Linked DNA regions of Macaca fascicularis. Each later gene encodes a partner of the first gene's protein in a complex. Links are inferred from orthologs where the notes say so. Each region holds a gene or a part of one and is shown in the gene's direction. Other genes may lie near its edges. The genes, in order: POLR2E, GTF2A1 and GTF2H4.

Region 1 (3,746 bases):
CGCGATCTCGGCTCACTGCAACCTCCCCCTTCCAGGTTCACGAGATTCTCCTGCGTCAGCCTCCCGAGTAGCTGAGACTACGGGCACCTGGCCCAGCTAATTTTTTGTATTTTTAGTAGAGATGGGGTTTCACCGTGTTAGCCAGGATGGTCTCGATCTCCTGATCTCGTGATCTGCCCACCTCAGCCTCCCAAAGTGCTCGGATTACAGGCATGAGCCACTGCGCCCAGTAACGTTATTTTACTAAATCCTGTCTCTGAATGCAAGGGATACCTGGCCTGTTTTTATTCACCATCACTGTAGGTTGCTGAGTAAATGCTGAATTAATGAATGCGTCACTGAGTCAGTGACTGATTGCCTTCACACAGCGAGTGCTGGGCTGGGATCCTCCGTGAATCTGGGGAGGTGAGGTTTGCAAAGACAGGACGGATCTGGGGTGGGGAGATACCCAGGCTAGGCTGGCACTCAGGGGAGAGGACAGAGGTGAAGGGACTTAAAAAGCACCTAGAGATATGCCTAGCTCTACCTAAGACTCTCAGTTAACCGCCTAAAGTAGGGACACTTTTTGCCATTGCACAGGTAGGGAAACTGAGGCCCAAGGGCATTAACCCTGACCTGGCCTGGAGCCAACAGAGGAAACCCTGTACAGTTTGATGCACAAATATGTATAGAGTTCCCACTAGGCTCCCCGACCGTCCCTAGGAGCCGAGCTGCCCCTTTACCCATTCCAGGCCTCAGTTTCCCCGCCCACACTTCGCCCCCGCCTTATGGGATTCTAAACTGTCCCCGCAACGTGGGAGTTGAACGGAAACTACAACTCCCAAGAGGCCGTGCAGCCAAAGACACACGAGAACTACGGAGGGAGAGTCTCGCGCAGCAAACTGCCGTTCTCGCAAGGCTCGGGCTGCCCTTGGCGCTGCCGATCCCGGAAGTTGCTGCATTCAGGCGTTCGCCGACGACAGCCCATCGCGGGGCGGGGTTACGTGGAGGGGGCCTGATTGGGAGTCGGCGCAGGCGCAGTCCGCGCGGGTTCTCGCAGGCAAAACGGGTGCGAGTGGCGGCGATGGACGACGAGGAGGAGACGTACCGGCTCTGGAAAATCCGCAAGACCATCATGCAGGTGAGCCGCGCGTGGTGTTGGGGGCGGGGGCGCGAGCAGCAGGTGCAGGGGCCCGAGGGGAGGTCGAGCTCGGCGTCTCCTCGTACTCCCGTCGCAGCAGCAGCAGCGACGGAGGGCCCGGCCGACACGGGAGACCCCGAGGCCGCCGGGGATCCCAGGCGCTGGGCCCGACCTGAGCCGGCAGCGGGGAAGGGAGGGGGTTTCGAGACGTCTGGGTGCGGGGCTTAGCGGTGGGCGGGCGGCTTGGGCTGGTGCGGCGCACATGGCGGCGAGAGGAGGAAGGTGCGAATGGGGACGGGGGGCGCCCCCAGACCCTGCCCCACTCTGTGATTCAGCGTCGCCATTTGTCCTTGCGCCCTGAACCCCAGGGCGTCTCAGCATCCGAGGCTGGCGGAGTTGGTGGTTGGGAAGCAGCAGGCGAGCTGGGGCTTTCGATGGGGACGTGGAGCCCGGAACCCGTGCCTCGGGGTCTGAGACAGATGGAGGCCACTGGGCCGACTCCGGTTTGGAAACTGGGCAAATGTCTGAGGGCCTGCGGTTCAGGGTCCTCCCTCAGCCGTTGGGGCCGTTTGGGAGCTTTTGTTTTGTCTTGCTTCCCCACCCTATGCCCTTGTCTTTAGCGCAGCCCCCCGCAGCCTGATTCTCCTTCCTCCGGGCCGCAAACATTGTCAGCCTGAAGTCACATCTGTTTCGGTCCCTGTCTTTTTTTTTTTTTTTTTTAAGAGACAAGCTCTCACTCTGTCGCCCAGGCTGCAGCGCAGTGGTGCAGTCATAGCTCACTGCATCCTTGAACTCCTGGCCTCAAGCAGCCCTCCTGCCTCGGCCTCCCTGAGCTCTGGGGTCGCGGACGTGACCCCCCACGCCCCGTCTTTGTCCCTGTCTTTAGGGTAGCTCTGCAAAGTGGTTTGGAGGGCTTTGCCCCCTGCCAGGTTCCTGTGAGGCTGGATAGACGGACGGTCTTGGTCAAGGCTGGACACCTCTGCGAGCCTCTCGGGATCACGCTGGTCCCATCCTGTGGTGTGGGGCTGTGGGGGCCAGGATGGCTGTCATGGGGCACACAGCGAGTGTTCATTCCGTTTGCTGTTCACCTCTGTCCTCTGCAGCAGCCGCAGGTCTGACTTCTGGGTCACGAGCTCTGGCCGCCTTCCTGTCTCTGCCCTGGGGTCAGCTGGTTCTTTCTCTCTGCAGCTGTGCCACGACCGTGGCTACCTAGTGACCCAGGACGAGCTTGACCAGACACTGGAGGAGTTCAAAGCCCAATTTGGAGACAAGCCGAGTGAGGGGCGGCCGCGGCGCACTGACCTCACCGTGCTGGTGGCCCACAACGATGACCCCACCGACCAGATGTTTGTGTTCTTTCCAGGTGAGCAGCGGGTCCCCGGGGGAGTTCTGGTGGAGCCGCCCGAGCACCTGCTGAGGAGCCGGCCGCTAGCACCCCCTCCCTCCCGCCTCGTGCCCAGCGTTTGATCCTCTGCCCAATCTGGGAGGAAAACTTCCCCTCCTCTTCCTTGCTGTGGGCGATGCCGTGGACCTCTGACCCCTCTCATGCGCAGCCTCTTTCTGGTTTCCCTCTCATCGGTCCCCTTTCTTCCTGCCAACCAGGAGAGTCCCATGGACCTCCCTACTCACCCGCAGCCCCTCATGACCTTTGCCCTACCTGTGTTCCTTGGCTCCCTCATCCTGGCCGTTGGGTGCACTTCCAACTTCTTGGCCTGGCCCAGGAGGCCCCGTGTGGGTCAGCGCAGCCTCCTTGTGAGCTGTGGCCCCTGTCTGCCCCAGCCCATTCCTCTGCACCCCATGCCGCCTCTGCCCTGTCAGCGTCCGCTACTCATCCCTCGAGGTTGTGCTCAGGCCGCTTTTCCCGGGACCCCTGGGACCCTCGGTTTCAGCACCTGCACCGTGGAAGTCTCCCCACCTGTCTGCCCCCCCAGGATGGCTCTAGCGCCCTCAGTGGTTGGGGGACTACCAGCGCCTAGGGACACAGCCGCGTGCCCAGAATTAATCAGTGGGGTGGACGGAGCGTGTCTGCCAAGCGGGTGATGCTACTGCTTTTTTTTTTTTTGAAAGTCTCATTCTGTCACCCAGGCTGAAGTGCAGTGGTGCCATTTCGGCTCGCTGCAGCCTCCACCTCCTGAGTTCAAAATTCTCCTGCCTCAGCTTCCTGAGTAGCTGAGACTGCAGGCACCCACCACCATACCTGGCTTTTTTTTTTTTTTTTTTGTATTTTTGGTAGAGAGGGGGTTTCACCATGTTGGCCAGGCTGCTTTCAAACTCCTGACTTCAGGTGATCTGCCTGCCTCGGCCTCCCAAAGTGCTGGGATTACAGGCGTGAGCCACCGCGCCCGGTCTTCTTCTTGTTCTTTTTTTTTTGAGGCTGAGTCTCTCTCTCTGTCGCCCAGGCTGGAGTGCAGTGGCGCAATCTCGGCTCACTGCAACCTCCACCTCCTGGGTTGAAGCAATCCTCCCACCTCAGCCTCCCACAAAAAGCTAGGTTTACAGGCATACACCATCTCACCTGGCTACTTTTACTTTTTTTAGTAGTGTTTATTTATTTGTTTATTTGGTTTTTTGAGACGGAGTCTCGCTCTGTCGCCCAGGTTAGAGTGCAATGGCACAATCTTGGCTC
Region 2 (3,646 bases), on another chromosome or scaffold:
GTTCAGCAGATATTAACAAATTCAGGTAATTAGGAATGATGGAACCATTTTAAAATGTAATTCAGAAAATTGTACTATCTAGCCCTTAGGTTTTGTCTTCTTTGAAGGACAGAAAATACTAATATTTCTTTTACCATTTGGTTTAGGTTATTAAAATAACTTTATTTGAGGGCTGTAACACATACAACTGTAATCGTTGTTGAGGATACAGTAAAGAAGATGCAGATTGTACTTGAACCTTTGATCTGTGCATGATAACCCTCTTATTGAAGTATGATTATATAAAAATGCTTACTTAGTTTTTTATTAAACACATTTACCATGCCAAGTGAGTATTAAACTTATTTGAACTTGTGATATGAAAGTAATTCCTAGAGCATATTAAGAGCAAATTTATTGTATGCTATTATTATACATAGTATCTCTTCATTGACAAAAGACCAATGTCTAGCTCATGTGTTTTGGCATATTAGTACTTGAAAAATTTATTTACATGGATTTTAAGTGTCCCCTGTCATCTTGATTATATAGTTATTATTTATTTTCTATTCTATGTATGTATGTTATTTTTGTTATTGTAAATTTGTGAAATTAGGGGCTTATCTTGCTACATGTTTAATAAGATGTAATTTGCTTTTTAATCAATTCAAGATTCTGGGTCATCTAAAGGAACATATTGAGGGAATTTGATTCTGTGTGAATTGTATGATGATAACTGGTTAGCGAACTTTTATTGCTTTTACCAATTTTGAAGCAAAGTTCTGTGGTACTTTGTTTGGTTCAAGATATTAAATGAGCTATTAAGCTTTTGTTCCTTTAAAACTTTAAAAATGAACAGCTCCTAAAGTGTCTGATCTTATTGCTCTTTCTTGACTCCTAAGGTTAGCAAAGATAATGTAAGCTTTAGTCAAGTCTCATAATCTGTTGTTAAAACCTTGTTGGAAATAGCTGAATGAGGATGTAAATATAAAAAATAAAACATTTTAAGGAATGTATTTGAACATGGCGAGAAGTCAGAGAAGGGGAGGATTATGCATACTGTGTATGAATGATAGTCTTTAATAAAATTGTCAGTTTTCTTGATAATTTCTTGTGCCTTTGGTGGTATGAAAGTAAATATGAATTCATTTCTTTTGAGATGGTCACTGCTAAAATGATAACTTGGAATGCATGCTTTTTGCTTTAGGCCAGCTTCTTCAGGTGGTCAGAGCAGCCAATGGTGCCCAATATATCTTTCAGCCTCAGCAGTCAGTGGTTCTACAACAACAGGTTATACCACAGATGCAGCCTGGTGGAGTACAAGCTCCTGTTATACAGCAGGTAAAATAATCTTCTATTATGATCAGTATGGGGTTCTGTTTTCTTCTGTATGTATTCCCTGGGTACTTTCCCTCTTCTTATATGCACAAAAGACTGTTCTTCAGTGCTATAGACCCAGTTGTTTCTAATTTCTCCTGTATACAGCTTAACTTAGATTCAACATGTATTAAACATGTATTAAAAAATTACTGTTGTCTGTGCCCATCCTTCATCATCCCCTCAAAGGTGGCAGCACTCTCCTTCCAGCCTTCTAAGCTGTTCATTCGGCCTTTATTCAATAAGCAGTTACTGAGTCTCGGGCTATTTATAAGGGTCATGAGATTTAGGAGTGAATGAGGCAGACATGACTCTAGTTTTATGGTGCTTACTCTGTTTTCTGGAACTGGTTGTGTAGAATTCTCCCTTTTCCTTACCTCTAATATCCAAGGTATCAAGCCCTACCAATTCTTGTTAATAGTTTTTCTTTTCTTTTCTTTTTTTTTTTTTTTTTTGAGATGGAGTCTTGCTCTTTCACCTAGGCTGGAGTGCAGTGGCGCAGTCTTGGCTCACTGCAGCATCTGCCTCCTGGGTTCATGCCATTCTCCTGCCTCAGCCTCCCGAGTAGCTGGGACTACAGGTGCCCACCACCACGCCCGGTTAATTTTTTGTATTTTTAGTAGAGACGGGGTTTCACCATGTTAGCCAGGATGGTCTCCTGACCTTGTGATCTACCCGCCTTGGCCTCCCAAAGTGCTGGAATTACAGGCGTGAGCCACTGTACGCGGCCTTTTTTTTTCTTTAACTGCAGTTTTGCCATGGTTGCAGTCCCTTAATATGTTTGACACTGTTTTTTTTTTTTTCTCAGCCTCTCTTTTCATTTCCTTAGTTCATAGTGTCCATAATTTGTCAGTAAATGCTGTATTGTCTCCTTAATGGTTTCTCTGCCTCTCATCTTATGCCCTCCTAACCTGGCTGATTTATAGCCATCTTTTTTTTTTTTTTTGAGACAGAGTCTCGCTCTGTCGCGTAAGCTGGAGTGCAATGGCACAATCTCATCTCACTGCAACTTCCGCCTCCTGGGTTCAAGCGATTCTCCTGCTTAGCCTCCTGAGTAGCTGGGATTATAGGCACGCACTACTGCGCCCAGCTAAATTTTGTATTTTTAATAGAGACGGACTTTCGCCATGGTGGCTAGGCTGGCCTTGAACTCCTGACTTCAGGTGATCTGCCTGCTTTGGCCTCCCAAAGTGCTGGGATTATGGGCATGAGCCACTGCGCCTGGCCTGTCTTTCTAAAAATCTTAAAACCTTTTAACAACTTTTCATTGCCTACTGAGAAAAGCCTAAACAACTCAACATGGTTTATAAGATCTTTTTGTGGATCTTGTTTCTTTGAAGTCTTCAGGTTTATTTCTTGCCATACTCCCAGGTATTTTCTTTAGCTGCATTTACATCAAAATAAACACTTGGATCTACTTGTGTTATATTCTTGTGCTGTGAGCACTAAAATGAAAGAGGAATGGTTATTTTCTTGAGGAACTTATGTACTTTATTTGTTTATGTGTCTGTCTCTTTTTTAAATGTCAGTAAAATAGTATGACGATAGAGACAAGATCAGATCAGTAATATTAATCCAGTTTATTTACATCTTTCCAAAATTATGTACTGCTTTCACTTCTGGGTTTCACTTGATGTTACGCATCTCTTAAGAATGCCGTCTGGCAACTCCCTGCACTTCCCCTAAACAAATAGAAAAACCTGGCTAATCTCCTTAAAGCAGCGGTCCCCCAGCTTTTTGACACCAGGGACTGGTTTTGCGGAAGGCAGCTTTTCCACGTACTGGGCAGCGGGGATGGGTTCAGGATGAAATTTTAATTCAGACCATCAGGTGTAAGGAGTGCACAACCTCCATCCTTGCATGTGCAGTTCACAGTAGGGTTCCTGCTCCTATGAGAATCCCATGCTGCCGCTGATCTGACAGGAGGCAGAGTTCAGATGGTAATGCTGGCTCATCCACCACTCACCTCCTGCTGTGCAGCCCGGTTTCTAACAGGGGTTGGGGATCGCTGCTTTTAAGCACAAACAGAAACTCAAATATTATTTACTAATAATATAAGTAATATTTGATCATGCTTTGTCCCCCAAGTTGAATTTGGTACACTCTCTTGTGTTCCCATAACACTATGTCATATTTGTACTACGTCTTGTCTCTGTTTGAGTTGTTAGTGCTTTGTCTATTTTACCTTTTTTTTTTTGTCTTTTGTGCTGTTACACCATGTGTAAGCGTTTTAAAGGAAATTCTGTGTCTTATTTTTGCATTCCTTGAACCTAATGGCAAGTAACAAACA
Region 3 (3,746 bases), on another chromosome or scaffold:
TCTGGGTTTGGGTGAAGACCTCTGCCTTTCTCTGTAGTAGGTTCATAAATCAAATCACAGCAAACAGTCAGTGTCCTAAAAACTGAATTTATCTGGGTTTTCTAAGTAGACGGTTTGAGGAGTGGTGGAGAAAAAAATTTGAGAAGAAATTAAGATTTATTGAGTACTTACCGCCAAGTAAGGTGCACTGGATCATGTTAATCGTTAACTCGTGGAAACTCTCCGGAGTGTGTACGCTTTCTTTCTTTTTCCTTTTTCTTTTTTTTTTTTTTTTGAGATGGAGTTTCGCTCTTGTCGCCCAGGCTGGTGTGTAAGGGCATTGTCTTGGCTCGCTGCAACCTCCGCCTCTAGGGTTCAAGCGATTCACCTGCCTCAGCCTCCCGAGTAGCTGGGATTACAGGTGCCCGCCACCACGCCCGGCTAATTTTTGTATTTTTAGTTAAGACGGGATTTCACCATATTGGCCAGGCTGGTCTCGAACTCCTGACCTCGGGTGATTCGCCCGCCTTGGCCTCCCAAAGTGCAGGGATTACAGCAGTGAGTCACCGCGTCCGGCCCGGAGTGTGCATTATCCCAATTTTACGGGGAGTAATTGTGCTCACGGAATCCAGTTTTGTGGTCCCTAAGTCTAATCGGTTCACCACCAAGTCGCCATAGCGCGCCTCCGCACGGAAGCCCTCCAGGCACTTCTACTTTCCCCGACCCGCCTCCCGCTCCATCCGGTTACATGCGCCGTTAGCAGCGTGGGCGGAGTTGGTTCTGGCAGAACCAACTGGTCCGGCTTCTGGTGTCTCCCGCTCTCTCAATTAAAAGCCGGCTCCTTGCCTTTCGGCTTCCCCACCGTGCCTTTCGGGATTTGTAGTCAGACGCACTTCAGCCGGCTCTAAGGAGAGCAAAGACAAGACTCCAATTCCCAGCATCCCCCGCGCCGGGAGTGTGCACCGTCTATTCTAATCCTCTTCACTTTTCCACTCCTCCCCTTACCTCCCTTCTCTTCTGAATTCTCCATTCTGGGCTCTTGCCTGTGAAATCTTTCGTCGCTTTCCCCATCTTTTCTTCGCATTTTTTCACCATCTTTCCCTCAGTTTCCAGGAGCCAATGCGAGACTTTGGCTCCGATTAAGCGACGGCCCGAGACTCGGGGTGCGCGAGGAGGATCGACAGAGTGGTGAGGGGACCTAGGAGGGCGGGAGTGGCAGAGGTATGAGAGAGACAGGTGAGTGAGAGGCGAGGAGTGGGAGGAAGGCAGGGAGAAGCTAGGAGATCGGAAGGCGTGGGTCAGGGTGAATGGCGTGAACTAGACTTGGGAAGGGAAAAGAGGTGGCTTTAGATTTGGGAAGCATGGAGGGGAGAGGTTACCGCCGTACTTAGCAGAAGTGGGCTAAGAGATAGAAGATAGGAAGTTCGGGTAGATTTGGAGCTTATAGACTGATCTGACCAGGAGGGATGGAAGAGAGAGGTGTGGGCTCAATTTTCTTTGTCTCTGTTTAGCCAAAGATGAGACAAGTCATTGAAATACAAAATGATCTTGCAAACACAGGACAGTTGACAATTCTGTCACTTGGAGCAGAGGAAAGACTGGAGTTGAAGGGCAGAAACAGGGTGAGGAGGCAAGAAAGGGACGGAGATTGGTCAGGTTTTTGAGAAACCAGAGGAATTGAGTGTCATGGGAAAGGAGGCCACAGAAAAGGTGGGGTTATTGTGGGGACTGATGGATCTGGAATCAGAAAGGTCAGGGGTGACACTGGCATGGATGGTGGGGGTGCGCTTCTGATGTTTGCATTCCTCAGGTGATGGAGAGCACCCCTTCAAGGGGACTGAACCGAGTACACCTACAATGCAGGAATCTGCAGGAATTCTTAGGGGGCCTGAGCCCTGGGGTATTGGACCGATTATATGGGCACCCTGCCACTTGTCTGGCTGTCTTCAGGTGAGGATCCCCTTCATGGCAGGGAAATGTAATGGGGTCTGCGGACTGGAATAAAATATAACAGGTAAAAGTGTAGCAGGCTGGGGTAGGGGTGGGGACTGGGGGTGCGGGTTGGAAATTGCTCCAAAGTGTGGGGGCCAAAACAGCAGGACTGGTAAAGTTGTGGTGGAGTGAGATGAGATGTTTGAGAGTTAATTGAGGGCAGAGATGCAGATACAATGCAGCTTCTGATATTAACCTTTGACCTCTGTCCCTGTTCAGGGAGCTCCCATCCTTGGCTAAGAACTGGGTGATGCGGATGCTCTTTCTGGAGCAGCCTTTGCCACAAGCTGCTGTAGCCCTGTGGGTAAAGAAGGAATTCAGCAAGTAAGTCTCAGCCAGATACAAATTTCTCAACAGCTACATTTCCCAAACTACTGTTCCTTGGAGCACTTCCAGGACGTATTAATAGGTATATCACAAAACTTAAAAATAAATACATTTGGGAAACTCTGCATACTGCCTTTTCCCTTTTTTTATTTCCCAGCTGACCTCTTGCTTTCAGATGTATCTTCCCTCTTACAGAGTTATGTGTGATATCTGTAATAAGGCTCTGATAGGTAATGCAGTAAAGAATTTGTCTTCAGATACTAATATCACTCTGTGGAACAGTGTTCCAAGAATCAGCAAGTTCAGAACAGGCAGAGAGGTGGCTTTTATGGTCCTCCTTTTTGTTCTCCAAATACCCTGCTCACCTCTCTGCTTCTGTTCCAGGGCTCAGGAGGAAAGTACAGGGCTGCTGAGCGGCCTCCGGATCTGGCACACCCAGCTGCTCCCAGGCGGGCTCCAGGGCCTCATCCTCAACCCCATTTTCCGCCAGAACCTCCGCATTGCCCTTCTGGGTGGGTATGTCACTTCTCTCTCTTCCTAAGCTAGGGCAGGGGAACTGCTGCTTATTAAACCGCTAATTACAGTTTGGGAGGGGGAGCTCCTGGGGGCCTCCCCGGAACCTTGTGGTCTCCGCATTGGGAGCTCCTTTAGGAGTAAGTTGGATCAGCTGCAGTGTGTGGTGTAGGAAATGTCCCCTACTCATGGCCCCTGAGGATAAGGGTGGAAAGATGGCAGAAGGGTGGCAAGGAACACAGACAGGGTTCCTTACTCTTTTTTTGTTGTTTTGTTTTGTGTGTTTTTGAGACAGAGTCTCGCTCTGTCACCCAGGCAGAGTGCAGTGGTGCGATCTTGGCTCAATGCAGCCTCCACCTCCTGGGTTCAAGTGATTCTCCTGCCTCAGCCTCCTGAGTGACTGGGATTACAGGCAACCACCAGCTAATTTTTTGTATTTTTTGTAGAGATGGGGTTTCACCATGTTGGCCAGTCTGGTCTCAAACTCCTGACCTCAAGTGATCCGCCCATCTTGGCCTCCCAAAGTACAGGGATTACAGGTGTGAGCTCCTGGCCAGGGTTCCTTACTCTTGGCCCATCCTGGCCTTAGGGGGAAGGCCTGGTCTGATGACACAAGTCAGCTGGGACCAGACAAGCATGCCCGGGATGTTCCCTCCCTTGACAAGTATGCCGAGGAGCGATGGGAGGTAAGCACTTGGGACTGTGTGTGTCTCTGCTTGTGCTTCTACTTCCCATGGCCCTTGGGGCATGGTCTCCCTGTTCTCTTCTGTTCTTCAGGTGGTCTTGCACTTCATGGTGGGCTCCCCCAGTGCAGCTGTCAGCCAGGACTTGGCTCAGCTCCTCAGCCAGGCTGGGCTCATGAAGAGGTGAGGAAACCGGAGGTATAGCAGCTCTCTGCAGTGCCATCTCCTTGGGTCCCTAAGAAATGGTATCTG

The links.
Region 2: POLR2E (region 1) and GTF2A1 share a complex: the UniProt entries of both Homo sapiens proteins name them as parts of the TBP-based Pol II pre-initiation complex. The link is inferred for Macaca fascicularis from reciprocal best matches to the Homo sapiens genes POLR2E and GTF2A1.
Region 3: POLR2E (region 1) and GTF2H4 share a complex: the UniProt entries of both Homo sapiens proteins name them as parts of the TBP-based Pol II pre-initiation complex. The link is inferred for Macaca fascicularis from reciprocal best matches to the Homo sapiens genes POLR2E and GTF2H4.

Annotation. Positions count from the first base shown.
Region 1 is NC_088393.1:1,666,016-1,669,761, reverse strand, and holds the start of POLR2E (DNA-directed RNA polymerases I, II, and III subunit RPABC1), read left to right. Parts: upstream 1-1,018; 5' UTR 1,019-1,063; coding exon 1,064-1,120; intron 1,121-2,308; coding exon 2,309-2,483; intron 2,484-3,746. UniProt on the Homo sapiens protein: DNA-dependent RNA polymerase catalyzes the transcription of DNA into RNA using the four ribonucleoside triphosphates as substrates.
Region 2 is NC_088381.1:149,163,821-149,167,466, reverse strand, and holds part of GTF2A1 (transcription initiation factor IIA subunit 1), read left to right. Parts: coding exon 1-25; intron 26-1,186; coding exon 1,187-1,320; intron 1,321-3,646. UniProt on the Homo sapiens protein: TFIIA is a component of the transcription machinery of RNA polymerase II and plays an important role in transcriptional activation. TFIIA in a complex with TBP mediates transcriptional activity.
Region 3 is NC_088378.1:141,754,818-141,758,563, reverse strand, and holds the start of GTF2H4 (general transcription factor IIH subunit 4), read left to right. Parts: upstream 1-970; 5' UTR 971-1,167; intron 1,168-1,490; 5' UTR 1,491-1,496; coding exon 1,497-1,601; intron 1,602-1,789; coding exon 1,790-1,929; intron 1,930-2,190; coding exon 2,191-2,295; intron 2,296-2,682; coding exon 2,683-2,814; intron 2,815-3,400; coding exon 3,401-3,497; intron 3,498-3,588; coding exon 3,589-3,677; intron 3,678-3,746. UniProt on the Homo sapiens protein: Component of the general transcription and DNA repair factor IIH (TFIIH) core complex, which is involved in general and transcription-coupled nucleotide excision repair (NER) of damaged DNA and, when complexed to CAK, in RNA transcription by RNA polymerase II.